Macaca mulatta: one gene and its partners. The protein of the gene in region 4 purifies or fractionates together with the protein of the main gene of each other region. This does not show direct contact. Links are inferred from orthologs where the notes say so. Each region holds a gene or a part of one and is shown on either strand. Other genes may lie near its edges. The genes, in order: GPATCH8, PPIG, SREK1, RNPS1, PRPF8, PRPF6 and ACIN1.

Region 1 (4,315 bases), on a different chromosome or scaffold from region 4:
CCACTGCACTCCAGCTTGGGTGACAGAGCGAGACTCGGACTCAAAAAAAAAAAAAGAAACGTAGGTATTCACAAATTGTAATACTCAGCCCAACTCCCTGACTCCATAATAATTTCAAGAGACATCAAACTCTCTAAAATTTGCACTTGATAAACTGGTAGAGAGTGAAGCTCTACAGCTTTAAATCATCCTGCCAAATTAAAGGCAAAGAAAATAACAGTCATCTCGAACTTACCAGAGAAGATGAACAGAAAAATTTCCAGTGCTACAAGATCTGTTGAAAGCAACAAGATCTATCCATTGTGTTTGGAAACTTACTATGATTTGTTTTCAAGTATAGTCAGTGGCTTCACCCAAAACCTTTTAAGGAGGCCACGTTTAATTTTGAATAACCTGAAGCCGAAAATGTTTCAGATACATTATTCACAGGAGAATCCTATTACATTACATTCTCTCACCAATAACTTTGAATCAAAAGACATCATTAAGTGAAAGACAATCTGTATTTTTCCCTTTATTAAAACACACAGAAAAATACCACTTCATTTTTAAATAAAAGTACTTTAAATGAATGTTATAAATTAACATAATTTATAAAAGTTTTAACATCTTCCAACTGTCTAAAAAGGTTTCCATTCCCAATACCTTATTTACCCAAAATGCTAGGACATCTGAATTTTAAAAACCAACATTTTCGGCCGGGTGCGGTGGCTCACACCTGCAGTCCCAGCACTTTGGGAGGCCGAGGCAGGCGGATGACGAGGTCAGGAGTTCGAGACCAGCCTGGCCAAGACGGTGAAACCCCATCTCTACTAAAAATACAAAAATAAGCCGGGTGTGGTGACAGGCGCCTGTAGTCTCAGCTGCTCGGCAGTCTGAGTCAGAAGAATCGCTTGAACCCGGGAGGGGAAGGTTGCAGTAAGCCGAGATGGTGCCACTGCACTCCAGCCTGGGCGACAGAGTGAGATTCCGTCTCAAAAACAAACAAACAAAAAAAACCCCAACATCTTCCTGGCTGACCCAACTTAACGGGTTGGTTCTTTCAACATAGAAGCAGAAAATGAACTATACATATCATCTTCAAAGGACTACCATGAAACCAAAATCAGGTTTTGCAATACCCAACTAAAGCATCAAAAGAGAGGGTCATCTTACTTAGAAACTGAGTATTGAAAAAGTAGAGGCTAACCCCCTCAATTTTTTTCAGGAAACAGCATTCACACTCTGCTATCCACAATTTTCAAAATCTTCATTAAAGGCCCCGAAAATCCTGTTTGTTAAGCCTGCTGGAATTCTGTGGTTGACAGTCATCTTTCCTCAAAATTTAATTGTCCATATTATCTATTTTCGATTTTATTAGGTCACCTTGAGATTCTCTCCTCTGAAAAGCATTTGCGGGCTTTAGTTATCAATAGGTCTCTATTGGTAATTTAAAAATCAATAAAGCTCATCATACACCTTGCAGCCTACTCATATTTTATAGTGCTTGCTAAAATATACATATATTTCTCAGGGATCAAAAGGCTAATATGAACTGCTTCAAACTTTGGTGAATCTGCATTATATCCTTAGAACACCTTGAGATTCTTCTGTATTGTGCTGCAGCTATACAGCAAGCGCATGATCACAAGGCTTTAACAGCCCCCAGATCCCTTACTGCTGCAAAACTTCTCATAAGCGTTCTATGTACTACCTTGTTAACAGTGCTGAGTTAAAATTGTTAAACTGCTTTATCTATTTATTTACCAGTCCTATCATCTCAGGGAATTCAAACTCTTTAAACTGCATTCTGAAACACACCTAGAGTGCTTTCCTATTGCTTTGAGTAGGATCTGCAGCCGGATAAAAACTTGAGTTCTGAGATTCATCCCCTGACCCAAATTGCAGTTGCCAGGATATGCGGTAGTAATGCAGAGGTTTTTTTTGAGACTCTACGGATGTATTTTACCTAGAAATAGCCAATCTCTACTAAATCCCTTTTAGTCGTCGAGATTTCCGCGGTAACAATTTCAACAGCAAGGTATTTTCAACAACGAAAAAACGAGTTATTCTAATTTGGCCTTTATTTTTTACTCAATAGAGCTTGCCATCGTAAGGGCATTTTACCATACCAACATTTGCAATTGAAAAAAGAAAAATCAAGCTTTTGGCACTAGTGACCCCACGCGTGGAAGGTCCATTATCATTACGCTTCTTACAAATCTTTCGAGATAGGATTTGAGGTTAGGCTCACATCGGATCATAGTCCAGTAACTTACTGTTTTCCAAGCCCAATTAACAGCCTAATAACAGCAGCAACACTTATGTCCCGGGAAATCTTAATGTATGACTAACCAATAAGGCGTCTGATAACGAATGCAACCTTTTCCCAGGTAAGGAAAAGGAAAAACAGACAATGAAAGCAACTGATTCATCACAGTGAAAAAAGAAAAGAGAAGGACCCCAAAAGGATCCGTGAGAGCAAAATCCCGGGGTTCGGAAGCCTTGGCCTCAGCAACACTCGCCCCCAAGTCCTCCCAGCCCAACCCAACCACCCCTCTGGTCCCCTGGGAGCCAGCCCTTTGCCGGCACAGGCCGGGCAGACCCGGAGGGCACAGCCCCCCACAGAGCTCCCAGGCCCGGTTCCCAAATCCGACGCCAAACAGGCGGAAGCCGCAAGCCCCGCGGCCTGAGTTTCAGGGGTAGAGAATGCGCGTGAGAGGAGATGCGGCCTCCCTCAAGCCGGGAGGCCTCTTGAGAAAGCAGAGACGGGAGAAGAGAGAGCCAATTCGCAAGTCGGAGCAAAACCTGGAAGGAAAGAGGGCTGGGAGCCGGAGATGAAGGACATTCTGGGCTAGACCAGCGCCTTCCCCGCATCCTCGGCGACGCCCGTGTTTACCTGAAAGTCTCGGTCCTCGTTGAAGCGGGAGAAGCGGTCCGCCATTTTGCCGCCTTCACTCCTCTCAGGACGACGCTCTCCGGTTCGCTCCTTCCCTCCTGCGACACCCGCCCCTCCCCGGTTCCCCGCCTCCTCCCACGCCCACCGGGCGCGCGCAGCCGAGGGAGGGAGCGAGAATGCGCGTCCTGACTGGAGCCCCGCAGCGCAGGCGCCTGCCAGCCCTGGAGGCTGACCCTTCCCTCCAGCCCCTGCTCCGCGCGCGACCCGGAGCGACCCCGGTGGCCGCGCGTGCGCACTCCCGCCCAAGAGCCGCGAAAGCTTCCGGAGGGAAAGGTCAGAAGGGGCACCGTGCGGACGAGTCTGGATGTTTTGCTGTGGCTCACTTCCGGGTATCTTTTCTCACTGTCGCTTCCCCGTGTGCGCAGAAGTCCATCGTCTTTACTAAATTTTTGGAAGCATAATGTTGGGCCTAAAGCGCGACTTTAGAGCCATACTACTTTGTTTCGAATCTCAGCTCACCCTGAGGATTCAACGGTGAACGAGACAGGAATGGTCTCTTATGGGGATTTCATTCCAGTGGAAGAAGTCACATAACTCGTAGAATAAATATTTTTAAATATCAATAAGTGCCACAAAAAAGTAAAACTGGCCGCAGTGCTGAGAGGGACAGTCTCTGAAGGGACCTTTGACCCGAGGCACAGCGAGGAGCCCACAGCATTGGGGCATAGGGAACATTAGACCCAAAGGCCCAAAGACTGCAAGGAGCTTGATATCTAGCCATCCTTTGAGAAAAGTATTTCTCAAGGGACCGAAGTTGATCCAAATCGACTAAAGCTCTCTGGGCTTCAGTTTCCTTTTTATACAATAAGGAAGCTGGATTCAGTAATCTCTGCTGCTCCTGTCTAGCGCTGACTGTGAGTTAAGATTCAGATTTTTCCATCCCTTTTGAGGACCTCACCCAGCGCTCCAGCACTCTTAGCCAAAATACATAAACACATAGAAGGGTGGTAGGACTTCCTCCTTTTGAAAAGAGTAGTTGACAGAAATCACACAATGGAAAAATGGCTCTTACCTTGCCCTGAAAGAGTCAAATGGAATGTAATTTTTTGAGGAAGGATATGTATTTTCTAGTTGTTACCCTTTGCCTCACCCATGCTTCAGCCTACACTTCCACCTAAGGGGAGGCAGGGCACACAGAATTCAAACATTGTGGGGTTTTTTTTTTTTTTTTTGAGACGGAGTCTTGCACTATTGCCAGAGTACAGTGGCGCCATCTTGGCTCACTGCAACCTCCGCCTCCCAGATTCAAGAGATTCTCCTGCCTCAGCCTCCATAGTAGCTGGAATTACAGGCGCCCGCCACCAAGCCCAGCTTTTTGTTTGTTTGTTTGTTTGTTTTTTGAGACGGAGTCTCACTCTGTCACCCAGGCTGCAGTGC
Region 2 (3,188 bases), on a different chromosome or scaffold from region 4:
TTTTTAAATTTTAGAGAAGGGTAATAATAATTAAAACGTTCCCAAAACTCTTCAAACCAAAAGCAACACAGAATTGAGAATCACAATCTGATTTTCCAAGGTATAGTTCCTGTCAAATGCTGTATAACAGCAACTCAAGCTCAATCAGTACATCAACGGAAAAAAATTACTCTTATGATTTTTATAGGCAGTTAAGTAAAACACAACTAGACAGGAAAAGCATTAATAGGAAACAAGCTATGGCTCAAACTATAAAGAATAGAGTATGAAGTGCAATATAAATAACTAAACATCTATTTAAAGCACAAATTACTATAAAATCAAAAGTTATGACTTAAGATCTCAGGTTATTAGGACCCTGCTTCTGTGTAATTAAAAGAAACCGCTGCAAACCTCTATTATTAATGCAATCAGAAAATCTATACAAGATGTCTTCTAGTGGCTTCTAAAGTTACTTTAATCATGAGAAACACAAGCTTTTGTAACAATGCATTGCAACCATTCCAAATGGCTGACTAAACAAATTAGGATGCTATTGGCTAATTGTTGCAACACAGTAATGCATACATAAAATAGTTAAACACAGCACACAATACTACACCAAAGTGTTTTTCTCATTTCAAGTTTATTAAAACTTTAGCAGTACAAATTATCCACATTGCAGATTATCAAAAGATCAACTCAATGAAATCCACATTAAGAAAAAAGGACAAACATAAAACAACCCAAAAACAATGAAAAGGAAAACAACATAAAGGAGATTCATTAGCAAGTCTCTCAAACTTAAAATTCGAAACAGAATGGAAGTTTATATCACTCACTCATCCACTTTTGTCTTCATCTGTTCCAGGGCTTGATTCATGATCAAATTTTTTATTTTTTTCATGTACATGGTCATTTTCTTGACCCTTTGATTTTTGGTTTTCTTTTTCCACTGAGGATCTGATCTTCTCATCCTCCTTATTTTTCAATGTAGAGGACTTTAATTCATTGTCCTGACTGTTTTGTTTTATTTTTGAGAAGGGACTTTGATCTCTATCAGCCTTTTTTTCCCTGCTATTATTTGAGCTATTATGATCATGACTTTTAGAGTACATTCTTTTCTCACTCTCAGAATTTTCTTTTCTGTGTGAGCTCTTACTTTCTTGGTTTCTGTATTTTTCTTTGTTTCTGCTTTGACTTTCTTCTCTCTCTGAGCTCCGTGAGTCTCTCCTCCTTCTCCTCCTATCTTTACTTCTTGATCTTCCTGGTGTCATTCTTCTCTCTCGGCTTCGTGACCGTCCTCTTCTCCTGTATTCCTGTTCTCTGTATCTATGGTACTCCTTGCTTCTGCTGCGATCTCTGTCATGGGTTCTTGATCGCACTCTTCTGCTTCTGTCCCTACTTCTGCTTCGTTCTCTTGTTCTGCTATTATAACTGTGTTTACCTTTAGTTATATCACATTCTCTACTCCTGGATTGTGCACGTCTATCCTTTTCCTTACTTTTACTATGATCATGCTCATTACTCTTTGATTCTAACTGTTTAGACTTCTCTTTACTTCTACTCCTTTCCTGATCTTTTCCTTTAGAATCAGACTGCTTTTCTTTTTCTTTAACATTCTCATGATCCCTTCCTTTACTCCGTGACCTCATCCTCTTTTCTTCATGTCTATTATGTTTTGAATCTCTTTCTTTACTCTTTGATTTCTCTTTACTCTTACTCCTACTTTTAGATTTGGCCCTTTTCTTCACTTTGTTTTTATATTTATCATCTTTTTCTGAATTTCTTCTGATGTCTCTCTCTTTGCTGTTAGATTTATGGTCTTTAACTTTCTTTTCCTTTTCATTTTTTCTGTTTGGACTCTCAGATACATTCCTGTGATCCGTTATTTTTCTCTCTTTTACTCTAACTGGACTTCTCTGATTTTCTTTTATTTCATTCAACTCACTCCTAAAAAATAAGAAAAAGGATTGGGGAAATGTTATTAGAAAAAGAATTGTAGATATTATTGGCTAAAATGATATTCTACTCTTCTTAAGGTATTCAGCAATAATTAAAATGACAATAAAATAACTTTATGTATAATAGTAAAAACAAATACTTATTACATTTGAAATAATAGTTAAATCTTACTTATCCCCTTTGATCCATCTTTCACCGCTTGATACCCTCATTCTTTGAGCTCTCTGCATCTCTTGCCTCCAATGTGGAGGAGTCTCACTACGTCTGAAACGATCCCTTGATCTGGATCTGGAAGGAGTTCGGTAACGCTAAAGAAAATTAAAAGGGGGAAAAATTAATGTATAAAAGTATAGAGGGACTCACATGAGTGCTGGGAGAGAGGGAAGTACTGGGCTTGAGGGTCAGGAGGTAGTAAGGGGTACAAAATTTAAAAATACATAAAAAGCATTATAATAGTAGCTAAAAAGCATATGTTTCTAGGTTAAAATAAAACGTCTGATATTTCTATGCCCTGAAAATTACTAAAATTTCCCAATTTTCATGTAGGAAATCAATGAGGCAGAGAAACTTAAGTTGTCATGTTGCAAATTCCAAGTTAAGAAACATTAATCACAAAAACTCTAGCCACTAGCCATACATGTCTTCTCCATGGAAGAGTCCTATCCAAGTAATGCTAGAGCAACTTATAAGTTGCCAAGTTCAATCTAAATGTTATATATACTTAATGTTTCAAAGCAACCATTTCTCATATTGTGGAGAAAATAGAGTATATGTGTAGATGTTCACTTATTCAACCCTTAGGATGACCAAACACTCTACTACATACTGAGAGAACATTAGTGAGCCAAGATATATGAGTGTGCTTTCCTGGAACTTATAGTCTACAGGACTTGGAGAGCATGTGAATGAACATATAATTAGTTATATTAAACATATATGCAGCTACAATAGAATGTGTATAAAAGGAAAAGGGAAAAGATGCTGAGACAGGAAGTTTCCGAGTTAAGAAGAAAAGACAGACCAAATATGGCCAAAGCTAAAAATTACAAGGGAAACTAGTACTAGATAACATTGATGAGGTAAGCAAGGACTAGGTTTTGTGAAGTGTCATAGGCCATCGTAGTAATTTTGGATTTATCCTAAGATCAATGGTAAAGGAGTAGCACAAAAATCAGACTTTCATTTTTAAATGACAATTCTGGCTACTATTTAAAAAAAGATTAGACAGTGAATCTCAAAGTGGG
Region 3 (3,696 bases), on a different chromosome or scaffold from region 4:
TTGTTTTGGCACTCAGGCTGTAAACAGGCACGTAGTCTGTTTAGTGCTATGTTCTTCGAATTGTGCTTTTTGTTGGTGATTTCACTGTTAAGATGGGCCCACAAGTGTAGTGCCAAACTGCTGTCTAGTGTTCCTAAGTACAGGAAGATTGTGAAGTGCCTCATGGAGAAAATATTAAATACATGTATTAGATAAGCTTCATTCAGGCCTGAGTTGTGGTGCTGCTGGCTGTGAGTTCAGTGTTAATGAATCGACAGTATATAACAGATAAGGTGTCTTTAAACAGAAGCACATATAAAATAAGGTTAAATATTTTATTAGTTAATGTAAATGTGACCAGAGGCTCATAGGAACTTCACCCTGTATTTTCCCTGGGAATAATGGTTCAGTATTCAATAATTCATTGTTTGTGGAAACTATAGAACATAGCTACCTCAAGTAATGAGAAACAGCCTATTTTTTAGGGTCAAGTTTAAAAGTGGCTAAAATATCCAGACAGTAAAATACATTTTGAATTACATTTAAAACTAATGTGACCTTATTTTAATAAGTCAGACATATATATGAGTTAAAGTTTGGAGTCCCTAGTCTCCTTTCATTCTTGTTGAGTTCATTCTTTTCAAGATTAGAGAATGGTAGCTTTGGATACTAATAGAAAATATGTGTTCTGTGTGTTTTTTTTCTTCTTTCGATAGCTTGGTGTTTCACTTAGCAGTTTGGGAGCTATACCAGCAGCAGCACTAGACCCCAACATTGCAACACTTGGAGAGATACCACAGCCACCACTTATGGGAAACGTGGATCCTTCCAAAATAGATGAAATTAGGAGAACGGTTTATGTTGGAAATTTGAATTCCCAGGTAACTAATTTAGGAAGAAACAAAGCAGCAGTAGCCCTTATTCTTTTTCTCTTCTTAAAAATCGTATCAGTGGATACAGTAATATTTACCTGATTTTTTAAATGGATGTATTTTATCAAAGTGTCACTTTGTTTCCTTAGACAACGACAGCTGATCAGCTACTTGAATTTTTTAAACAAGTTGGAGAAGTGAAGTTTGTACGGATGGCAGGTGATGAGACTCAGCCAACTCGGTTTGCTTTTGTGGAATTTGCAGACCAAAATTCTGTACCAAGGGCCCTTGCTTTTAATGGAGTTATGTTTGGAGACAGGCCACTGAAGTAAGAAATCCTAAACAAAGAAATTTTAATGATTTTGAAAAAATTTAAAGTATTTTTGATGTAATTAAGGCTTTTTTTTTTCTTTTTAATAGTAATTGGCAATTTGTGGAAAGGAAGACTTTGTGTTAAGTATAAATGAATACATGAGATACTTACCATTTTAGTCTTTAAATTCCTTTATTTAGAGACATTTATTTTCTCATTTTCTGTTTTCTAGGTTCTAATTCAATGTTAACATTATTTATATACCTTGCACAACAGTTGTAGGTCTTTTTCATAGACTTTAATAAGTCAGGTTAGTTTTACATTATGACTCTAGACTAATTGAGCAACTTAACATGTAGGTTGAACTATAGTACTTCCAGTAATAACTGTGGTAAATTCAAAATCTCCGGAAGGAAATTATAAGTGCCCACAAGTGTTTTAAACCAGACATTTTGACTTTTAAGGTTTGCTTACATCCTTGTTTGTAAAACGTTGATATAGCCTTCGAGATGAACTCCAGACCGGATACTCTATTTCATGCAGATTATTGAGGCAAATATAGTTTTGCTTGAATTTCATAGATTGCTTTAGTTACACAATTTGATCAGGATTTTTCTGTTAAAGGATAACTAATTGTTGTTGGTGGGTACTTGTCTTCTCAGTGTGGAAGGGGTAAAGCAAGACACATGACATCCATTCATGTGCATCAGAGAAGGCATTCTTATCTCGTAGAGGAAGAATGTGCCTTGCACATTCAAAGCTATGTCTGACTCAGCCATGGTTCAGGGTTGGTTACAATGATGTACATAATATGATAATATACAGATAGCTTTCCCTTCTTCTAGAGTGTACAGGATATCAATAAGATCTTTTGATCTGAAAATACAAATAATTCATTTTCATATTGGTATCAGCATTTTAATTTATTTTAATTCTAAGCTGTGGAAAAGCACTTAATCTTGTCTGTTTGAATTAAGTTAGCTAGGGTCCAATTTTCTTTTTCTGCCGTTTTTGGTTGTATTAGCAAGGAATGATAGGAAGTGGGGATGAGAGATTAATCGTGGTTTTGAGGTTGCTTTTGGGTATTCTGTATTTATATCATTCTCATGTGCTTCTGAGATGTCCTCAAATTTATAAATATGTGTATCATATAAATGTTTGTTTTATAAAATGTGTGTATTTGTGATATGCTAATATTTTTAATTTAGAATAAATCACTCCAACAATGCAATAGTAAAACCCCCTGAGATGACACCTCAGGCTGCAGCTAAGGAGTTAGAAGAAGTAATGAAGCGAGTACGAGAAGCTCAGTCATTTATCTCAGCAGCTATTGAACCAGGTAAGTCCATAACGTTGTTACATAGGTCATAGTTTAAAGATCATAGAATCTTAGAACTGGAAGGAATTTTAGAAATCATCTTGTTCAGTCTCTTCGTTTTACAAACAAGAAGACTGAAACTCAAGAAATAGTAAGTAGCGTACTCATGTCAAAGAAAAACTTAGCACATATTTTATTCTTTTCCGTGATACTGAATTGAGGCACTTTAGTCTGAGCTAATCAGCCCTGAATTTTCATAGCAAAATCAGTGCTCAAAAATGATTTGCTGAAAGCAAAAATGTTATTGCAAGGCTAAAAAGAGTAAATATATTTAAGATATTATGATTCGGCAGGTTTACTTTTCCTCAACATTTTAATTCTGAAAATAGAAAAGAGAGCCCGTGATTTAGAAAAAAATACAGATACTGTATTTTAGCAAGGTAAAGGAACGCCTATTCAAACTTTTGTGTTGCTAATGAAAATAATTTAAAAACCCATTCTAAAAACATCTAGGTGGTTTACATTTGAGCAGATTTTCTAAATCACCACTCGGAATTTAAGCTTCAATTCTAGCAGAATAAGTGGAGAAAGGACTTAAAATCACTGTCACAGGAATTACAGACATGTTATAATCGTACGTTACGGCAGCAACATAATATTACGAACAGCTGTTTATAATCATCTGGTTTATATGTACTGCTGCAGGGTGGCTGCACTCAACGAGTTTATGCAATGACTTTCTTGGATGTTTCTGAAGGAGGAGGATGTACAGAGAGTAGGCCCCTTGCACTATATGTGGTACATTCCACTTGTGCCTGATTATTAACTGGGATCTTTAATTGTTCTGAGCTTACACTGCAAAGTGGTTTTTTCCTCCCAGAGTCTGGAAAGAGCAATGAAAGAAAAGGCGGTCGATCTCGTTCCCATACTCGCTCAAAATCCAGGTCTAGCTCAAAATCGCATTCTAGAAGGAAAAGATCACAATCAAAGCACAGGTGAGAATTTCTGCTGTCATATTTAAATTTTATTTTAGTTTTGTATTTAAAATATTAAGAGTTTATGAGTTTTTGTCAAAATATCAGAATTTAGAAATTTTAGTAGTGTACACCTGAAGTGTGATCACCATTAAATACTGTTCTAATTGTAATTCTGTAGTTGAGAATGAAATTTTGCCTAATGATATTTAATTTTTAAATATTTGAACTTATTTTTAT
Region 4 (4,254 bases):
AGGTCTGAAGTGGGCCCTTCTGGCCCCACACCCTCTCTGCAGGGGCTGTGGCCTCTAGGTCGGGCCTGGGGCTAGGAAGAGGGACAGAAGTCAGTGCATGAGGCCACCCAGCTCCATGTCCATGCCCACAGTCCTTCTGCAGGGCATCCTCAGACTTGTTTTCAAGCCTATGTGTTAGAGATTTAGGAATGTGTCATTTTTCTCCTGTGACACCCTAAAAAGGGGTTGGGGAGAGTGTATAGGACTGAGGGCATAGCCCGCATGAGGCACACACTTGTGAAGCCAGCGTGCATAGACAGGACACGCACAGAAGACACCATCCCCCCTGGCAGCACACTACCAGTGCCAGTAGGGGTCTTTAAGTAAGGACTGGCACAACTAGAACTCCTTAGGAAAAGGATCCGCAGCTCGGGAGGCTGCTGCGTGGGGACCAGGAGGGGCAGGTGCATTCAGGGCGTCTGTGGCAGGGGCCCAAGGCTGCACCCAAGCCTGGAGCTTGGATGACCCCAGGAGCAGCAGGAAGGGCCCATCTGGCATCCCAGGGGCACCCTCAAGGCCTCTGGAAACTCAGTGCTGGGGCTAGGTCACCAGTGACACCCTAAGGAGCCTGGGACTGAAGCCTCAGGACTCCGCCCCGCCTGATTTTTGTCTGAGCTGTGGCCGTTCCCAGCCCACGGGAGGGCAGGGGAAAAGAGCTATGGGCCCAGGGATGGGAGCTACCGGCCCATCCACGCTCCACCCTAGACCATGGGGTGGGGGGGGGCATGCATTCTCTATGGACACTGTCCCCGAACAACTGTGGCATCTGACAGAGCCGACTCCTGCCCTCCTCCCAATTCACCTTAGACCTGGGAGACGAGGTTCTGACTTCACTGCCCTGCGTAGCCTGGCACAGGGCTCCCATGAGCAGATGGCCCATGGGCCACGAGCCAGGTATCTGCACCTTCTGTCCTCCAGGCTGGCCCAGTCCAACAGGCTGGCTCAACTGACACCACACCCACAACTCAGAGAGGGGAAGACCTTGCAGTGTGGCGGGCCCAGGCCAAGCCCCTCCACTGCCATCACAGGTTTACAGCGAAGCAGGGGAGCAGGCTGGATACAGGCAGCCCAGGCCACAGGTCCGGGGACCCACACCAGGCCACAGGAATGGGCTTGCTGAGGGTATCAGAAAACCCCAGGTCACAGTGGTTTGAAAAAGAAGTTTATTTCTCAGCCGTGTAGGCAGGAGGAGGCAGTCCAGGGCTCTGTCACCTGAAGTCTCAGGGAGGCAGGCTCCATCTGCTGCCCCATCATCCTGGTTCACGCCTCCCTCCTCATGGTCACCTCTGTGTTCAAGGAAGTGCTTGGCCGGGCGTGGTAGCTCACGCCTATGTAATCCCAGCACTTTAGGAGGCTGAGGAAGGCAGATCATGAAGTCAAAAGATCGAGACCATCTTGGCTAGCATGGTGAAACTCCGTCTGTACTAAAAATACAAAAAAATTAGCCAGGCGTGGTGGCAGGCGCCTGTAGTCCCAGCTACTGGGGAGGCTGAGGCAGGAGAATGGCGTGAACCCGGAAGGCAGAACTTGCAGTGATTGGAGATTGCGCCACTGCACTGCACTCCAACCTGGGCGACAGGGTGAGACTCCGTCTCGGGGGGGGGGGGGGTGGGGGGGGAAGAAGGAAGTGCTCAAGTTCAGGGTGGGGTAGGGTGTGTGCAGTGGCCTCCGTCCAGTGTCTGTCACCTCCAGGCAGCTCCCTGCTGCGCCTGGACCCACCTGTGCCCTTGGCTCACTCCATCTTGCTGAGTTTCCCATCTCTGTCTTGCTGGCTGCTTTCAGAGACCAGGCCCAGAGTCCTCAAGACTCAGGTGACCTTGGCTACCCCTGGAATCCTGGACTAAAGATCTGCAATAAAAATGTGTCCAGCAGGGAACCATCCTGTTTGCTTTGCTTTTCTGAGTTCCTACAACAAACCAGCCAGGGTGCACTGTGGGGCATATGGACACAGGCCCTGGAGTATGGCTACTTCTGCCTGGGGGCGTCTGGGAGGCTTCCTGAGTGAGGTGGGGTCTCACCAGCTCCAGGGGACACCACTGCCGCGCACAAGGTAAGGGTGGGGGTGGAGGATCACCTCCGTGAGGACCCAGACCCCACCCACTGTGGCTGCGGTGGAGACTGCAGGTCTGTCTCAAGGCCCCAGGCCTGACACCTGCAAGAACAGAACCTAGGAGTGACAGAGGGGATTCCACCAGGCCAGCCCGGGGCTTGAACCCCAGCCAGGGCAGCTGCTGTCCACTGCCCCACCAGGTAACGCACCGACCCAGCTGCTGTTCAGCTCCCCTCCGGGCCAGCACCATGCTCATGGCATAGGCCGGCTGGGCCCTCTGAGACCCCCACTCCCACACAGACTGGTCTGCATGGAGGCTGGTGCCTGGCTGCACTAATGGCCAGAGCCCCCTGCAGACAGGCAGCTCAAGGGGAGCTCCAGAATGCAGGAAATGGCCCAGCACGGGAGTCACTTAGGCTGCCCACCCCTCAGGGAACTGAGATGTCCCTCCTTCCAGATGCCCCCCGAACCCGAACATGCTGGGCGTGCTCTGGTCACCCCACACAGGGGGCTCAGGGTGGGAGAGCTGGAGGCTGCCTGTAAGGGGCAAGGCCTCCTCCAGGAGGTAGGATGGGGTGGGGCAGGCGGGATCCCCTCCTCACCTGATGGGCCCTCGAGGCCAGGCTGCAGGCAGGCAGGAGGGGGCTGAAGCAGTGGGGTCAGGCCCGGGGAGCGGGGGCCCTGCCTTCCTTCCTCAACACACGGGGCTGCCCAGGCCCCGCTCCTGGGGCCGGGCCCACACCCCACAGACACTGGTGTCAGATGCTTCGGCTTGAAGGAGCTCCACATGGACCAGCTGCAGCTGCCCCTGGGTCCGCCTGGCCCAGGCAATACCACAGCATCACCAAGGCTCATCTAGCCATGGGCTCAGCCCCCAGGTCCTGAGAGGCACCCCAGGTGCCTCAGTCACAGTCCCAGGCAGCTCAGGTCCCAGGCGGCTCACGGTCACTATCCTTGACTTCATTGTAGCAGAAATGGAGTGCTTTGAGCTTGTGATGAGCACAGGCTCCCGATCCTGGGAGAGTCCAGACGTGCCCACTGGAGGGGCCCCAGGCCCTGATGATACCCACTCCTCAGACATGCAAACCCGGAGCCAGGGAGGCCTCAATGAACCGTATACTCTCCCAACAGACCAAGCTCACCCCACACCAGCACAAGGCCCTTTCAGACCCAGCCTGGCCACCCCAATGGACCTGGCCAGCACCTCCCCCAGTCCCACCCTCTCCAGACAGGTGCCAGGCTATGGTGACCTGCCTCTCAGCAGGCACGGCTCCTCCTCTGATGCCTCCCCCGAGGTCGAGTCATTACTCCCTCGTCCACCTGACTGGGCTGCACACGGCCTCAGTGCAGAGCCAGGTTTTAGTGGGTAAAAGGGCTCCCTTGCTGTGCTTTACCAGAGAATACAACACCCTCCCCAAAGCTCCTTCATGACCCACTGTGACCTGCAGCACCACCAAGCCCATCACCAACCCTGTGTCCCAGGCCACGAGCCTCTAAGCGCAGGCACTGCAGAAGCCACCAGGCAACAGAGGATGGAGGCAGGGAGGACATTCTGCCTTCATGAGGGCATGCCCTCAAAGACAGAGTCGCCCCAAACAGTCAGCAGGTGACCCTCAGCTCTGGGAAGGCAAGGGGAGGAGCTCAGGGCCATGGCCAGAGCCCACGAGAAGCCTGTGCCCAGCACTGCAGTGCTCTGGCCACTGCATAATGCCGTGTCCGCAAAGCCCTGCCTGCCCCCTGCAGCAAACCAGGGCCCCTGAGGCTCCAGAAGCCCCAGCTCCACTACCCTCAGCCTCCATGGCCTTAGCAGCCTGGCTCTGGGGCTGAGCTCCTGGAAGGACAGGGTGGGGGTAGGCTCCTGACTTTTATTTTCTCACGTTTCTTTCAGACATGCTTCTGCTGATCCTCAAAATGGCAAAAGCCAGGATGCTCAATTCTCAAAGCTCAACAGCTGATGGCACATTTGATGACAAAAATCAGTAATATTTAGAAACAATTTTGATTAAATTCATAAGTGCCTGAATAAATCATACTCGTCGATTTAATATAAAATGTGTGAAAGCTTATTCGCAGGCCAAATGAAATTACTGCAGAGCATTAAAAATCAGCAGGGGGAGGGCTGTCAGCCCAGCTGGTGCTGCGTCACCCCCACCCATGTCACGTGG
Region 5 (4,350 bases), on a different chromosome or scaffold from region 4:
CAACCATTTCTACCCACTGCCCCCAACCACCACCACCACTGCCCACCATATTTCAGCCTTTCTCACCCCCACTGGGAGATGTAGACAGGTTCAATAACCCAGGGAATCTCATTGACGAAGGAAATGGCTCCAGTGATGTGGTACAGCACAGGCACATCCCGAATCTGCTCCCAAGGCATAGGCATGTTCTCCAGGAGTTTGAGGACTGCGTGGGGCATGTACTTTAGGGCACTGGCACATTAGAAAAAGAGAAGGCTATTAGAAATGACGAGGTGTTCTGCTACCTGTCCCATGCAGAGAAGCCACACGTTCATGTTCCACAGTAAATCCTACCTTACAATCCAAACTCCCAGACTTAGCCCATAGGCCCTTCCTAACCAGAAACCCTGCCTCTCCCTCTACAACTTCATCTTGCAGCACTCTTCTTTTTTTTTTTTTTTTTTTGAGACGGAGTCTCGCTCTGTCGCCCAAGCTGGAGTGCAGTGGCCGGATCTCAGCTCACTGCAAGCTCCGCCGCCCGAGTTTACACCATTCTCCTGCCTCAGCCTCCCGAGTAGCTGGGACTACAGGCGCCTGCCACCTCGCCCGGCTAGTTTTTTTTTTTTGTATTTTTTAGTAGAGACGGGGTTTCACCGTGTTAGCCAGGATGGTCTTGATCTCCTGACCTCGTGATCCGCCCGTCTCGGCCTCCCAAAGTGCTGGGATTACAGGCTTGAGCCACCGCGCCCAGCCTCAGCACTCTTCTTAAATGTCATAGTCCCACAATGCTGGTATCAGCTCCTCTAAATCAACAGCTGTCCCTCTGGAGACAGCTTTGCGGCTGTCTCACATCCTATTCCCTCAGTATCTTCTCATAAATCATAATAAAGTATTCACCATACTTCACTATCACCAGTTGTCTCATGTCTGTCATGCCACTAGACTGCACACTGCAGAAAGGCGGAGATTGTTACCCTCTGCTCGCTACTATACCCCAAGCAGCCAGCACAGTTCTCAAACTATTTTTTGAAATAAACAAAACTTCCAGTTCATTACACGGCAAACGTTTTTGTGTCCAAATAGAGCAGGAATCTGCTAAGACATCTGTACCTGTACCCACCCAGTTTACAGCCACAGAAAAACAGCAGTAGGGATACCTCTGAAATTAAATACCCTAAACACAGAATTCAGGTCCCTGAGGAGTGACAGGCTGCCACTATGCACAGTCTCCCACTCTGGGCTTCAAACAGCTCAACGACAGGGATATCTTATAACAGCATCAACAGGACAAATTAAAGTCCCAGGCCCAGATCAGGAACAGAAGGGAAACAGACTGCGTAAGTGGAAGATGTAGAAATTATCAGAGACTCCTACTGGTTTTCTCCTTTCTCTTATATCCACCAAGATGAGCTGTCAAAGCAGCGTCCTGTTCCAAAATGACAGAGCATCTATCCAAGACTGTGGGACAGGGAAAAGGGAAAAGAACCAAATTCCAAATGAAGTTATTTCAGGATGTTCCTTACCCCAAGTAAACCCTTTTGTCATGGCGGAACTTTCTGTTGGTCATGTCTCCATGGTCTCGAATGATCTTCCTGACATGTTCCGGGGGCATGTCTTCCTTCTGGGCATCCACAAACCCAAACTTCCGCTTTTCTGCATAGCGCTTCGCCTGCAATTGCTGCCATTTTCGGGCTACAAAGGCACCTCAGTTTAAAGGACTGCACACCCTCAGCCTAATCCTCTTCACCTCTTGCCCTAGGGTAAGCTCCTGTCAGTGAGTGTGACAGAGGAGCAGGCATCCAGCAGGAAGCAACACTCCTTGCCAATTCCCTTACCACTTTACTATGTTTTTCCCTTCATCACATTTATTACTATCTGACTTTTTTTTTTTTTTTTTTGAGACGTTGTTTTGCTCTGTTACCCAGGTTGGAGGGCAATGGAGCGATCTCGGCTCACTACAACCTCCGCCTCCCGGGTTCAAGCCATTCTCCTGCCTCAGCCTCCCCAGTAGCTGGGATTATAGACACGCGCCACCACACACGACTAATTTTTGTATTTTTAGTAGAGATGGGGTTTCACAATGTTGGCCAGGCTGGTCTCGAACTCCTGACCTCAGGTGATCCGCCCGCCTGGGTCTCCCAAAGTGCTGGGATCACAGGTGTGAGCCACTGCGCCCGGCCTGACATTTTTATTACAGATCCTCAAGGTTTTGTTACTGTCTTTCTCTCCCGCTGTAATTTAAACCCCGTAAGGACAGGAATTTTGTCTCCATCACTACTGGATCAGCGCTTGCAGATAACACGCGCTTAAAATGACTTGATAAAAAGTTAAATGGGGCTAACAAGGGAGTTGTCACCTCGGGAGCTGCCCAAACGGGGAGGGTCCCCAGCCACCTGCGCGCGCGAACACCCGCCCCGCCTCCGGCTCGCGCGCCGCTCCACACTCGACTCACCTTTCTCCTGCAGCTTCTCCTCCGACATGTAGTCCGGTAGCGGGGCTAGAGGGCCGGGCACCGGGTTACCCGGCCCTCGGTAAGGAAATACTCCGGCCATACCCGGAGAATCTGGACAGCGGCGGGACAGAAAAATTCACTAACCACAGGCCCGGGCCCACAAGAAGCGCAGCAGAAAGGCGTCCGGGGACCCGGGCCTGCAATCCCGCCACACTGAGTGCATCCAGCCCCGCCCGGCCTAACCCCTTCGGTCACTCAGCCCGACCCGACCACGCCTCCCGCAGCCCGGCCTTAAACGCCTGCCACGCACCCCACAACCCCTCACACAGGGGGCCGCTTTCTCCGGAGCGCAATGGCGGCCAGTGTGCGTCCGCTCCGCGTTCCCAGCGCCGGAAAGTGCGCAACCCGACTTCAGCAGTTGATCCAATCGGCGCCGAGGTGCTCAGATGGATTGGTAAGATGGCCAATTAGAGTGGCACACTGCGCCGAGGAGGCGGGCCCACAGGCGGAAAGGCTTTGAATACAAGGGGGTGTGGTCGGGGAAGCCCCGCCTCCCACGTTTCCGAGGCTGTTCCTGAGGCCCCCGACAGACCTCAGTGTGTGATAGGCTCCCGGCGTCGCCCTGCGAGAGACCGAAGTCTGGAAGCTTTTAATAAATTTGCCAAGATTGCGCATTGTACGATGTCTGTTGTCATCAATGTATACGTGCAATGCAGTACTAGCTCCAGGACGGTCATTTGTTCATGCATTCATTCTTTTTTTTTTTTTTTTTTTTTTTTTTTTTTTTTTGAGACGGAGTCTCACTCTGTCGCCCAGGCTGGAGTGCAGTGGCCGGATCTCAGCTCACTGCAAGCTCCGCCTCCCGGGTTCACGCCATTCTCCTGCCTCAGCCTCCCAAGTAGCTGGGACTACAGGCGCCCGCCGCCTCGCCCGGCTAGTTTTTTGTATTTTTTAGTAGAGACGGGGTTTCACCGTGTTAGCCAGGATGGTCTCGATCTCCTGACCTCGTGATCCGCCCGTCTCGGCCTCCCAAAGTGCTGGGATTACAGGCTTGAGCCACCGCGCCCGGCCGCATTCATTCATTTAACCATTCTTTATTGAGTGCCCACTGTCTACCGAGGACGAGGGATAAAGCAGGAAAAAAGACAACCAGTAGGGTTCACAGGGGAGCAGAAAGAATCAAGCTCATTGGGGGGGGGGGGGGGCGGTAGCTCACGCCTGGAATCGCAGCCTTTTGGGAGGTTGAGGCGGGCGGATCGCTTAAGGCCAGGAGTCCAAGGCCAGCCTGGCCAACATGGTGAAACCGCGTCTCTACTAAAAGTACAAAAATTAGCTGGGCGTGGTGGCATGCACCTGTAGTTCCAGCTACTCGGGAGGCTGAGACAGGAGAATCGCTTGAACCCGGGAGGCGGAGGTTGCAGTGAGCCGAGATCGCGCCACTGAACTCCAGCCTGGGTTACAGAGCGAGACTCCGTCTCGGAAAAAACAAACAAACAAAAAGTCTGAAATTCCCACCAAGTTTATTGGGGAGGATGCAGAGGAATTGTAACCCATACAGCCCCTCAATCTAGTTGAGAATTTACAAATCAAAGTGAAATAATTAGAAAAAAAAATGCAAAGGATGTCAATGTGCTTTCAGAACGGTAAAAATTTTAAAACAATTCCTTTTGTTTTCTTTTTTAGACAGGGTCTCACTCTGTTGCCCAGACTGGAGTGCAATGGTGCGATCTCAGTTCACCACAACCTCCACCTCCCAGGCTCAAGCGATTTCCCTGCCTCAGCCTCCAGAGTAGCTGGATTACAGGCAGGTGCCACTACTGCTAGCTAAATTTTGTATTTTTAGTAGAGACAGCGTTTCACTATGTTGGCCAGGCTGGTCTCAAACTCCTGACCTCACGAAATCCTTCTGACTCGGCCCT
Region 6 (4,265 bases), on a different chromosome or scaffold from region 4:
CCGGCCATGGTGGCACATGCCTGTAATCCCAGCTACTCAGGAGGCTGAGGCAAGAGAAATCGCTTGAACCCGGGAGGCGGAGGTCACGATGAGCTGAGATCGCACAACTGCACTCCAGGCCGGGCGCGGTGGCTCAAGTCTGTAATCCCAGCACTTTGGGAGGCCGAGATGGGCGGATCACGAGGTCAGGAGATCGAGACCATCCTGGCTAACACGTTGAAACCCCGTCTCTACTCAAAAAAATACAAAAAACTAGCCGGGCGATGTGGCGGGCGCCTGTAGTACCAGCTACTCGGGAGGCTGAGGCAGGAGAATGGCGTAAACCCGGGAGACGGAGCTTGCAGTGAGCTGAGATCCGGCCACTGCACTCCAGCCTGGGCGACAGAGCCAGACTCGGTCTCAAAAAAAAAATAAATAAATAAAAACAACTGCACTCCAGCCTGGCCAACAAGAGCAAAACTCCGTCTCAAAAAAAAAAAGACTGGCCAACACGAAATGCCAAGGCAGCGGTCCCAACATCTGCAAGAACACCTCCTCTGACAAGAGTGAAACTTCGTCTCATATTTTTCCTCCTCCCTCTCACTCTCTGTAAAGATGTCCCATGAATAGCTGAAATTTTAAATGCATGAGCCACTCCAAGCCATTCATTACAGACACCAACACACAATGGTGAGGTCAGCTGCTCCCAGAGACTGGCTGGAGGAGCCACGAAAGCTGGACACATCTCACCTCGTCGTAATTGGTGTCATTTAGATCCTCATCGTCATCGTCAGCAGCCTGGTTTTTCTTCATCTGGTCCCCAACAGTTCTCTTGCCTGGGGGCGCGTGGCGATCATCCACGGGATCATTTGCATCACGGGCGGGCCCGATGTCTGACCGTGTGGTGAAGCCAGTGGCGCTGCGGGAGACCCCCAGGACACCCGGTATCTGAACAACTCTGTTCCTGTGCTCTTCTCCACCCCTGGTCATCACTTACTAACACCTCTTTTTCTAACACCTCTGGGAAACCTCCAAAGATCCTGGTGACAATGATCTGCAGTCTCAAACGCTACCGATCTTCTCTGCTTACCTGAAGGTTTTAGCCTATCCTGACGATGTTACCAAGGCAATCTCTCTCCACCCTAAGGTTTCCATCATCTCCCCCTCCACATCCAACTAGGCCCTTAAACCCAAGTTGGCCCAAACTGAGGTCCTCTTCTGTACCCACCTTATAGCTGCTCTGGGGTGTTTCAGCTGATAACAGCACTGCTGTCCCAGATGACATAATCTTTGCCTCCCTCTCCCACTTTCCCCATCCTGTCTGTCCCCAAGTACTAATGAATCCACCTTCAAAATCCCTCCTTCCCAGACTATGACTCGCATCACAGCTGGAAACCAAGGTAGCTCTCCCTGCCTTTAGCCTTCTTCTACTTCAACCCATGCTCTGCCAGATGATTCTTTCCAAAACACAGCTCTGACTAAAAAATTCTGGGCCGGGCGCAGGGGCTCATGCCTGTAATTCCAACACTTTGGGAGACTGAGGCAGGTGGATCATGAGGTCAGGAGTTCAAGACCCCCCTGGCCAACATGGTGAAACCCTGTCTCTACTGAAAATATAAAAATTAGCCAGGTGTGGTGGTGGGCACCTATAATCCCAGCTACTCAGGAGGCTGAGGCAGAAAACTGCTTGAACCGGGGAGGCAGAGGTTGCAGTGAGCTGAGATCACGCCATCGCACTCCATACAGAGCAAGACTCCGTCTCAAAAAATAATAATAATTCTGAAGGGTCATGGTCTTTCTAATACATCCAGGAGCTGCAGCCTGACGCTCAAAGCCTCTCCAACTTCCTGAGCTCTTTTCTATTGGTTGCACATTCCACTCACACTGGACTCCCTCCTGTTCTCTGGGCTTCCTCCTTACCTCACTTTTTTCCGAACTCCTGCACACAGAATGTCAGTTTCTCTTTTATCGCTACCACGTTTCTGCAGCCCTAAGTCCAGCTCTCCTACTAAACTTGACTCCAATGCTACTCTCCATTAAGCATTGGGTTCTAAATCTGGTCTTCTTTACGTGCTTATTTATGCTAATACCAAACCCTCCTTAGTGAGCTTCTGGTCCTCTGATGATGCTGTCACTATCGGAGCTTTGTGTGTGCCCCACAGATTCTAATATAATACCACCACCAAGAAAAACCCAGTAGTTTTCCTCATCAAATGAATAGCCAAATAGGGTAACAACGACTGCTCACTTATCCAGCAACGTATGGTGGTCATCTGTGTTGCAGGCAAGGAGGACCCAGGCACGCTTAAGGCGGGGCGGGGCGGGGGGTGTGTCAGCCTGACCTGGGGAAGGTGGTCGCGTGTTTCCACTACACATCAGATTCCTCTACACCTCACTGCAGACTGCATACATCATTCCCCATCTTACAGACCAAAACACTGGGCTGAGAGCCAACATGTCCCATCTAGGCGGCAGGCAGGGTGCACACACTTATGTCCTGACCCCAAAGCCCGTTGCTTCCTGCAGGGATTAAGCCGATCCACCAAGCGTCTTTTAGACAGCGCGGCCACAGACCCCCGCCCCCAAACACGCGCACTGCGCTCCGCTAGCCGGGTCCCCGCCCCTGGCGCGCCGCTCCAGGCCTCACCCCCGGCCCAGCCCCGGCACGTAGCCGAGCGGAGCGGGCATCCCCAGGAACGGCTTCTTCTTCTTGTTCATGGCGGCGGCGACGACCAAGGCTAGGAAGCAACGGAATGAGGCAGCGGAAGAGGGGAAGCAGCAGAGACTCCAGGCTTCGACGTCCGAGGCGCTCCGCAGGAAGGTGTCGCGAACGTCGCGTCACCCGCGCCCCGGAAGCAGAGCCCTCAGTCCGCACACGCCCCGCCCACTTTTTTACTCCCCGGGCGGAAGCCCCGACGTGCCGGTTCGACGACTTCCGGCCGCGGCTAAGGGGAGGGGACGTGGCAGGCGCGTGCGCGGGAGCGCCTCCTCGTGGCGAGGCGGGGAGAGCCAGGCCGAGCCTGCACTGGGACCCTAACAGGCCCCGGGGGGCCAAAAATAGCCTGAGGCATCGCTCCTTCCCGAGTGCTCTCATGCATTCCCGAGGAGACCTGTCTGTGCCAATAGGACCCGTGGTCCCCTCCCTCTGAACCAGCCCAGCTGCCCGCCCTCGCCCCGGGTGGGCCCTGATCACTTCCAAGCAGAGCTGTACCCTGTCCAGTTGTGCAGAGCTTGTGTGTACTGGTTATGGGCACACCTGTCCGTGTGCGTCCTGGGCGCACACTGCTGCCCTAAGCTTTCAGCACTCATATTCTTTTTTGTTGTTGTTGTTGTTGTTGTTGAGACGGTGTCTCGCTCTGTTGCCCAGGCTGGAGTGCAGTGGCGCAATCTCGGCTCACTGCAAGCTCCGCCTCCCGGGTTCACGCCATTCTCCAGCCTCAGCCTCCGGAGTAGCTGGGACTACAGGCGCCCGTCACCACACCCGGGTAATTTTTTGTGTTTTTAGTAGAGACGGGGTTTCACCATTCACAGGATGGTCTCGATCTCCTGACCTCGTGATCCGCCTGCCTCGACCTCCCAAAGTGCTGGGATTACAGGCCTGAGCCACCGCGCCTGGCCTAGCACTCATATTCTTGAACCTCCATTCATGCATCTGTCCCTCCAGTGGGACTAGAGACCCCACCCACGCCCACCAACATGCCTTGGACATTCTGGTGAGAGCCACATCCTCAGCTCCTGGAGAGCTAATTGAAATAAACAACCGTAGTTGACCTGTAGGGAACACGTCAGCACATGAACACGGCTGTCAAGCATGTGAGTGAATTCTATGTGTGCGATTAGTGGTGTATGATTAGTGTGTGTGATTAGTGGGGTGTGTGATTAGTGTGTGTATGATTAGTGTGTGTGATTAGTGTGTGTGACTAGTGTGTGCGATTAGTGTGTGTATGATTAGTGTGTGCGATTAGTGTGTGTGATTAGTGTGTATGATTAGTGTGTGTGATTAGTGGTGTATGATTAGTGTGTGTGATTAGTGTGTGTGATTAGTGTGTGTGATTAGTGGTGTATGATTAGTGTGTGTGATTAGTGTGTATGATTAGTGTGTGTGATTAGTGTGTGTGATTAGTGGTGTATGATTAGTGTGTGTGATTAGTGGTGTATGATTAGTGTGTGTGATTAGTGTGTGTGATTAGTGTGTATGATTAGTGTGTGTGATTAGCAGTGTATGATTAGTGTGTGTGATTAGTGTGTGTGATTAGTGGTGTATGATTAGTGTGTGTGATTAGTGT
Region 7 (3,696 bases), on a different chromosome or scaffold from region 4:
ACTGTTGAGTACTGGTGGAGGAAGGGAGAAGATGGAGGGTCACAGTGTGTCTGCAACCCTTCCCACTTGCTGCAACACCCTTAAACCTGCCCACACTGGTCACAAAAGGAAATATATGCCATGACCTATAGAATCAGCTTCTTCCCCTCACCGTTACAAAGCAATGAGATTTGATCTTGTCAATCCAGAAGGCCTCTTCCACCAAGGTTCCTGTGCGCCCCAACAACTCCTTTAGCTGGCCTAAAGTGAAAGGACGGACCTGCCAATGAAAATAAGACTTTCAGGGTCTTGAAGAAGGCAAGACCACCACCCATACAGCCAATCTTTAGATTTCCCAAGCTGCTGTCACAGGACTATAGTTTCAAGGTTTGGGTGAGGGCAGAGAGTTTAGGAACCTTGCAGTAAGAATGTGAGAAGAGTGGTGGTGCTTCCCAGCACTGAGACATTGTATATGAGGCCCTCTGCAAGTCCTCAAAACAACCCTGCAGGGCGACAGCTTTTCCCCTTCATTTTTAGATGGGTAAATAGGTTAAGTAACTCACTCAAGATCAGTGAGTAACTTAATCTATTGGTAGACCAGTTCAACTATGAGTGGAACCTAAGAAGTGTAAGCCTAAAGCTCAAACTTAACCACTAAGCCAGCTGGGATGTGAGAAACAATGACTTACCAAATTGGAGATATGGACAATGTTGCTAATCTTGCCCCGGGGTGGGGAGGGCACCTGGGCAGTTCGGACTGGGTCATCAATTGTAATGGAAACTCCGGACTTTTGCTGGCTAATGGAACGTCGAGTTAAGGTATCTCCTAAAGTCACTATGAAGAAGACCACAAGAACAGCTTTTGGTAGGAATCAATACTGGCTTGTTTCACTTTCAACATAACTATCACGGTTCCCCTTCTTTTATACCAAGCAGCCACTCCTTCATCTAAACGTGTAGAGCACCTATAATCTGCAAAGTACTGTGCTAGGCTAACCTCATCATGGAGATTCAAAGATTAAACAGAGTCAAATCTGGCCCTCAAGTAGCTTACTTCATATGTAGGAGAAAGATATGATATACGAAAAGCGTCACTCACCTTTCTTTACTTCATGCTCTGCAGGTGGGGGCAAGGCCACCTCTACTGACACCTGGGGAGGTACAGGAGGTTCTGCTTCAGGTTCCTTCTCTTCTTCCTCTTCTTCTCTTTGCCCATTCTCCTGGCCCTCTGCAGGTACTACCTATCAAGAGAACACAGCAGGTCTGTTAAACACCAAACTGGCATATTCTTTTCAGCCTCTGGTTCCCTGGTGAGAGCAACAGTCAACTTAGCATGTTCCTTCCGCTAGGGGTATTTCATTATCCAGCTCACCTCTACTAGATCCTGGGATTGTTAGTACCTCAACTTTGCCTTGAGGAAAACTAAGGCAGGAGTTGGTAAATTTTTTCTGTAGAGCAAAGCAGTACTTCAGGTTTTGCAGGCCACATAGTCTGTTGCAACTACTCAACTCCGGTGATGTTGCAGTGAACAAACAGCCACAGACAAAAGTGAATGGTGTGGTTGTGTTCCAATAAAACTTTATTTATAACAGGTAGCCAGCTGGATTTGGTAGTCTGACCCCTGAAAGTGTCAATCAACCCAACCCTCTGCACAGACAGGAAAGTTCCCTCCAAAGACTTTATCTCAGCTCCTCAGCTGGCTGCTCTGCATCTACTGCTCCCACCTTCCTCCCGACACTGGGGTGCAGAAGCCTTACCTGAGTGACTGTCCGGCATATTTTCAGCCCCTTGTCATGGGTCCCATCATCGCCATTACGCTCTGTCTCATCCTCAGAGATGCGAGAGTCATCAGCATGAAGATCCACAACAGCCTCCTGCCCCGCCAGGGGTTTGATGTCGGGGATGAGGCTCTGGGACACAGATACCCCCCACCCCGTTACACTGGGCCCATGTCTACTCCCACCTTAACAGGTCTCATCCTCCCTTCCCTGGCTCCTCCCACCTCACCTTGAGTGATTCAGTGGTGATACTGATGGAAGGTTTCTTCTGTGTGGTGGCTGTGCTGGCTCCCCAACGTCGTTTCCGACCAGGCTGGCCCCCCTCTGTGTCACTGTTTCCAGCTGGCACCCCCTTGGTAGCTGCTGTCCCCAAGAAATAGACCCAACAGTTAGATGGTCTCAGGACCTCTGCTAGTTCAAACCATAATACCTACAGGTTACCCCTGGCTGGAGTTTTGGAGGTTAAAGAAATCAGTGTGTGGGTGTGGTGACTCACGCATGTAATCCCAACACTTTGGGAGGCTGAGGCGGGTGGATCATGAGGTCAGGAGACCAGCCTGACCAACATGGTGAAACCCCATCTCTACTAAAAATACAAAAATTAGCCGGGCGTTGTGGTGCACGCCTGTAATCTCAGCTACTCAGGGCGCTGAGGCAGGAGAATTGCTTGAACCTGGGAGGTGGAGGTTGCAGTGAGCCGAGATTGTGCCACTGACTGCACTCCAGCCTGGCAACAGAGCAAGCCTCCGTCTTAAAGAAAATTAAAAAAGAAAAGAAAAGAAAAGAAAAGAAATCATATCTGGGAACTGGGAAACCATGGCTTCAGACTGAACACTAAAAGGGCTGAGGTCCCTTCCTGATAGAAACTACTGATCTAAAAGCAGTAAGGGAGGGGTAGCTAGTATGATGAGCTGTTTAAACTTTTAATAGTAGACAGTAGTATCTTAAGTAGTGTGGAAGAAAAACTGAGAAGGACATGTGAATGCAGAAGAAACAAGAACACTACGTGATACTAACATCTAAGCAAGAACTAAGATCATGATGGGATCTGGTCTTCCTTTAATTTTCACACCACAGATTGATATTTAAGTTATAAACATCTATTATACTTTTGTAATCTAGAGTTCCTCATTGGGGAAAATGTTAAAATTGTTACTGTTTGAGGTGTGGGGCACTTTCATTTCCTCGGGTGCGCTCTTAGAATAACCCATAAACAAGGTCAAGCGCGATGGCTCATGCCTGTAATCCCAACACTTTGGGAGACGAGGCAGGCAGATCACGAGGTCAGGAGTTCAAGACCAGCCTGGCCAACATGATGAAATCCCATCTCTATTAAAAATACAAAAATTAGTTGGGCATGGTGGCACGTGCCTCTAATCCCAGCTACTGAGGAGGCTGAGGAGAACTGCTTGAACTGGGACCTGGGAGGCGGAGGTTGCAGTGAGCCAAGATTGTACCACTGCACTCCAGCCTGGACTACTACAGAGGAAGACTCCGTCTCAAAAACAACAACAACAACAAAACCCAGAATAATTCATAAACTGCTAAGCATTACATAGGAGTCCTTGAAACTCATTCGTTGTTGAGTATTCACGTATCTGAAAGAATAAATGCCTCTAAGGCTAAATGGGACATGGTCTCAGACACCTCATAGTGTATCTCATTAAAATGTGACTAGAGAAATATGATGGAGATTGTCTCAAGCTTTGAATTTCAAAATGAAACCCTACATAGGAAAGGATTCAGATTTGCTAGGCACAAGGGGTGGGGCAGGAGGGAGCGACCCAAGAATGCCATTGAGAATGAAAATCTGGTTCTCAATGAATGCTGATTTTTATGGTATGGTATTCTTGACTTTTATCAGGGACTTGGGGCTAGACTTACAGACAACGGAGATCTTCCTCTTGAATGATTTGGGCAGCGAGCTCTGTATAAAGAA

Evidence for each region.
Region 1: the proteins of RNPS1 (region 4) and GPATCH8 purify together in Homo sapiens (co-immunoprecipitation; 4 studies listed by BioGRID and IntAct, with this or other methods). This does not show direct contact. The link is inferred for Macaca mulatta from reciprocal best matches to the Homo sapiens genes RNPS1 and GPATCH8.
Region 2: the proteins of RNPS1 (region 4) and PPIG purify together in Homo sapiens (co-immunoprecipitation; 3 studies listed by BioGRID and IntAct, with this or other methods). This does not show direct contact. The link is inferred for Macaca mulatta from reciprocal best matches to the Homo sapiens genes RNPS1 and PPIG.
Region 3: the proteins of RNPS1 (region 4) and SREK1 purify together in Homo sapiens (affinity purification with mass spectrometry; 3 studies listed by BioGRID and IntAct, counting the BioPlex papers as one, with this or other methods). This does not show direct contact. The link is inferred for Macaca mulatta from reciprocal best matches to the Homo sapiens genes RNPS1 and SREK1.
Region 5: the proteins of RNPS1 (region 4) and PRPF8 purify together in Homo sapiens (affinity purification with mass spectrometry; 3 studies listed by BioGRID and IntAct, with this or other methods). This does not show direct contact. The link is inferred for Macaca mulatta from reciprocal best matches to the Homo sapiens genes RNPS1 and PRPF8.
Region 6: the proteins of RNPS1 (region 4) and PRPF6 purify together in Homo sapiens (co-immunoprecipitation; 3 studies listed by BioGRID and IntAct, with this or other methods). This does not show direct contact. The link is inferred for Macaca mulatta from reciprocal best matches to the Homo sapiens genes RNPS1 and PRPF6.
Region 7: the proteins of RNPS1 (region 4) and ACIN1 purify together in Homo sapiens (affinity purification with mass spectrometry; 6 studies listed by BioGRID and IntAct, with this or other methods). This does not show direct contact. The link is inferred for Macaca mulatta from reciprocal best matches to the Homo sapiens genes RNPS1 and ACIN1.

Annotation. Positions count from the first base shown.
Region 1 is NC_133421.1:68,877,361-68,881,675, forward strand, and holds the start of GPATCH8 (G patch domain-containing protein 8), read right to left. Parts: upstream 2,950-4,315; 5' UTR 2,924-2,949; coding exon 2,879-2,923; intron 64-2,878; exon of another isoform or gene 1-63.
Region 2 is NC_133417.1:74,548,406-74,551,593, reverse strand, and holds the end of PPIG (peptidyl-prolyl cis-trans isomerase G), read right to left. Parts: intron 2,253-3,188; coding exon 2,116-2,252; intron 1,933-2,115; coding exon 822-1,932; 3' UTR 620-821; downstream 1-619. UniProt on the Homo sapiens protein: PPIase that catalyzes the cis-trans isomerization of proline imidic peptide bonds in oligopeptides and may therefore assist protein folding. May be implicated in the folding, transport, and assembly of proteins.
Region 3 is NC_133411.1:74,276,524-74,280,219, forward strand, and holds part of SREK1 (splicing regulatory glutamine/lysine-rich protein 1), read left to right. Parts: intron 1-695; coding exon 696-860; intron 861-1,000; coding exon 1,001-1,179; intron 1,180-2,372; coding exon 2,373-2,503; intron 2,504-3,362; coding exon 3,363-3,477; intron 3,478-3,696. UniProt on the Homo sapiens protein: Participates in the regulation of alternative splicing by modulating the activity of other splice facors. Inhibits the splicing activity of SFRS1, SFRS2 and SFRS6. Augments the splicing activity of SFRS3.
Region 4 is NC_133425.1:3,508,699-3,512,952, reverse strand, and holds the start of RNPS1 (RNA-binding protein with serine-rich domain 1), read left to right. Parts: upstream 1-1,384; 5' UTR 1,385-1,414; intron 1,415-2,742; exon of another isoform or gene 2,743-2,836; intron 2,837-4,254. UniProt on the Homo sapiens protein: Part of pre- and post-splicing multiprotein mRNP complexes. Auxiliary component of the splicing-dependent multiprotein exon junction complex (EJC) deposited at splice junction on mRNAs.
Region 5 is NC_133421.1:3,240,478-3,244,827, forward strand, and holds the start of PRPF8 (pre-mRNA-processing-splicing factor 8), read right to left. Parts: upstream 2,814-4,350; 5' UTR 2,742-2,813; intron 2,543-2,741; 5' UTR 2,532-2,542; coding exon 2,432-2,531; intron 1,672-2,431; coding exon 1,503-1,671; intron 232-1,502; coding exon 67-231; intron 1-66. UniProt on the Homo sapiens protein: Plays a role in pre-mRNA splicing as core component of precatalytic, catalytic and postcatalytic spliceosomal complexes, both of the predominant U2-type spliceosome and the minor U12-type spliceosome.
Region 6 is NC_133415.1:116,866,361-116,870,625, reverse strand, and holds the start of PRPF6 (pre-mRNA-processing factor 6), read right to left. Parts: upstream 2,812-4,265; 5' UTR 2,698-2,811; coding exon 2,627-2,697; intron 899-2,626; coding exon 730-898; intron 1-729. UniProt on the Homo sapiens protein: Involved in pre-mRNA splicing as component of the U4/U6-U5 tri-snRNP complex, one of the building blocks of the spliceosome.
Region 7 is NC_133412.1:96,155,364-96,159,059, forward strand, and holds part of ACIN1 (apoptotic chromatin condensation inducer in the nucleus), read right to left. Parts: intron 3,685-3,696; coding exon 3,642-3,684; intron 2,121-3,641; coding exon of another isoform or gene 2,118-2,120; coding exon 1,987-2,117; intron 1,890-1,986; coding exon 1,737-1,889; intron 1,221-1,736; coding exon 1,079-1,220; intron 1,019-1,078; exon of another isoform or gene 815-1,018; coding exon 669-814; exon of another isoform or gene 260-668; coding exon 152-259; exon of another isoform or gene 12-151; coding exon 1-11.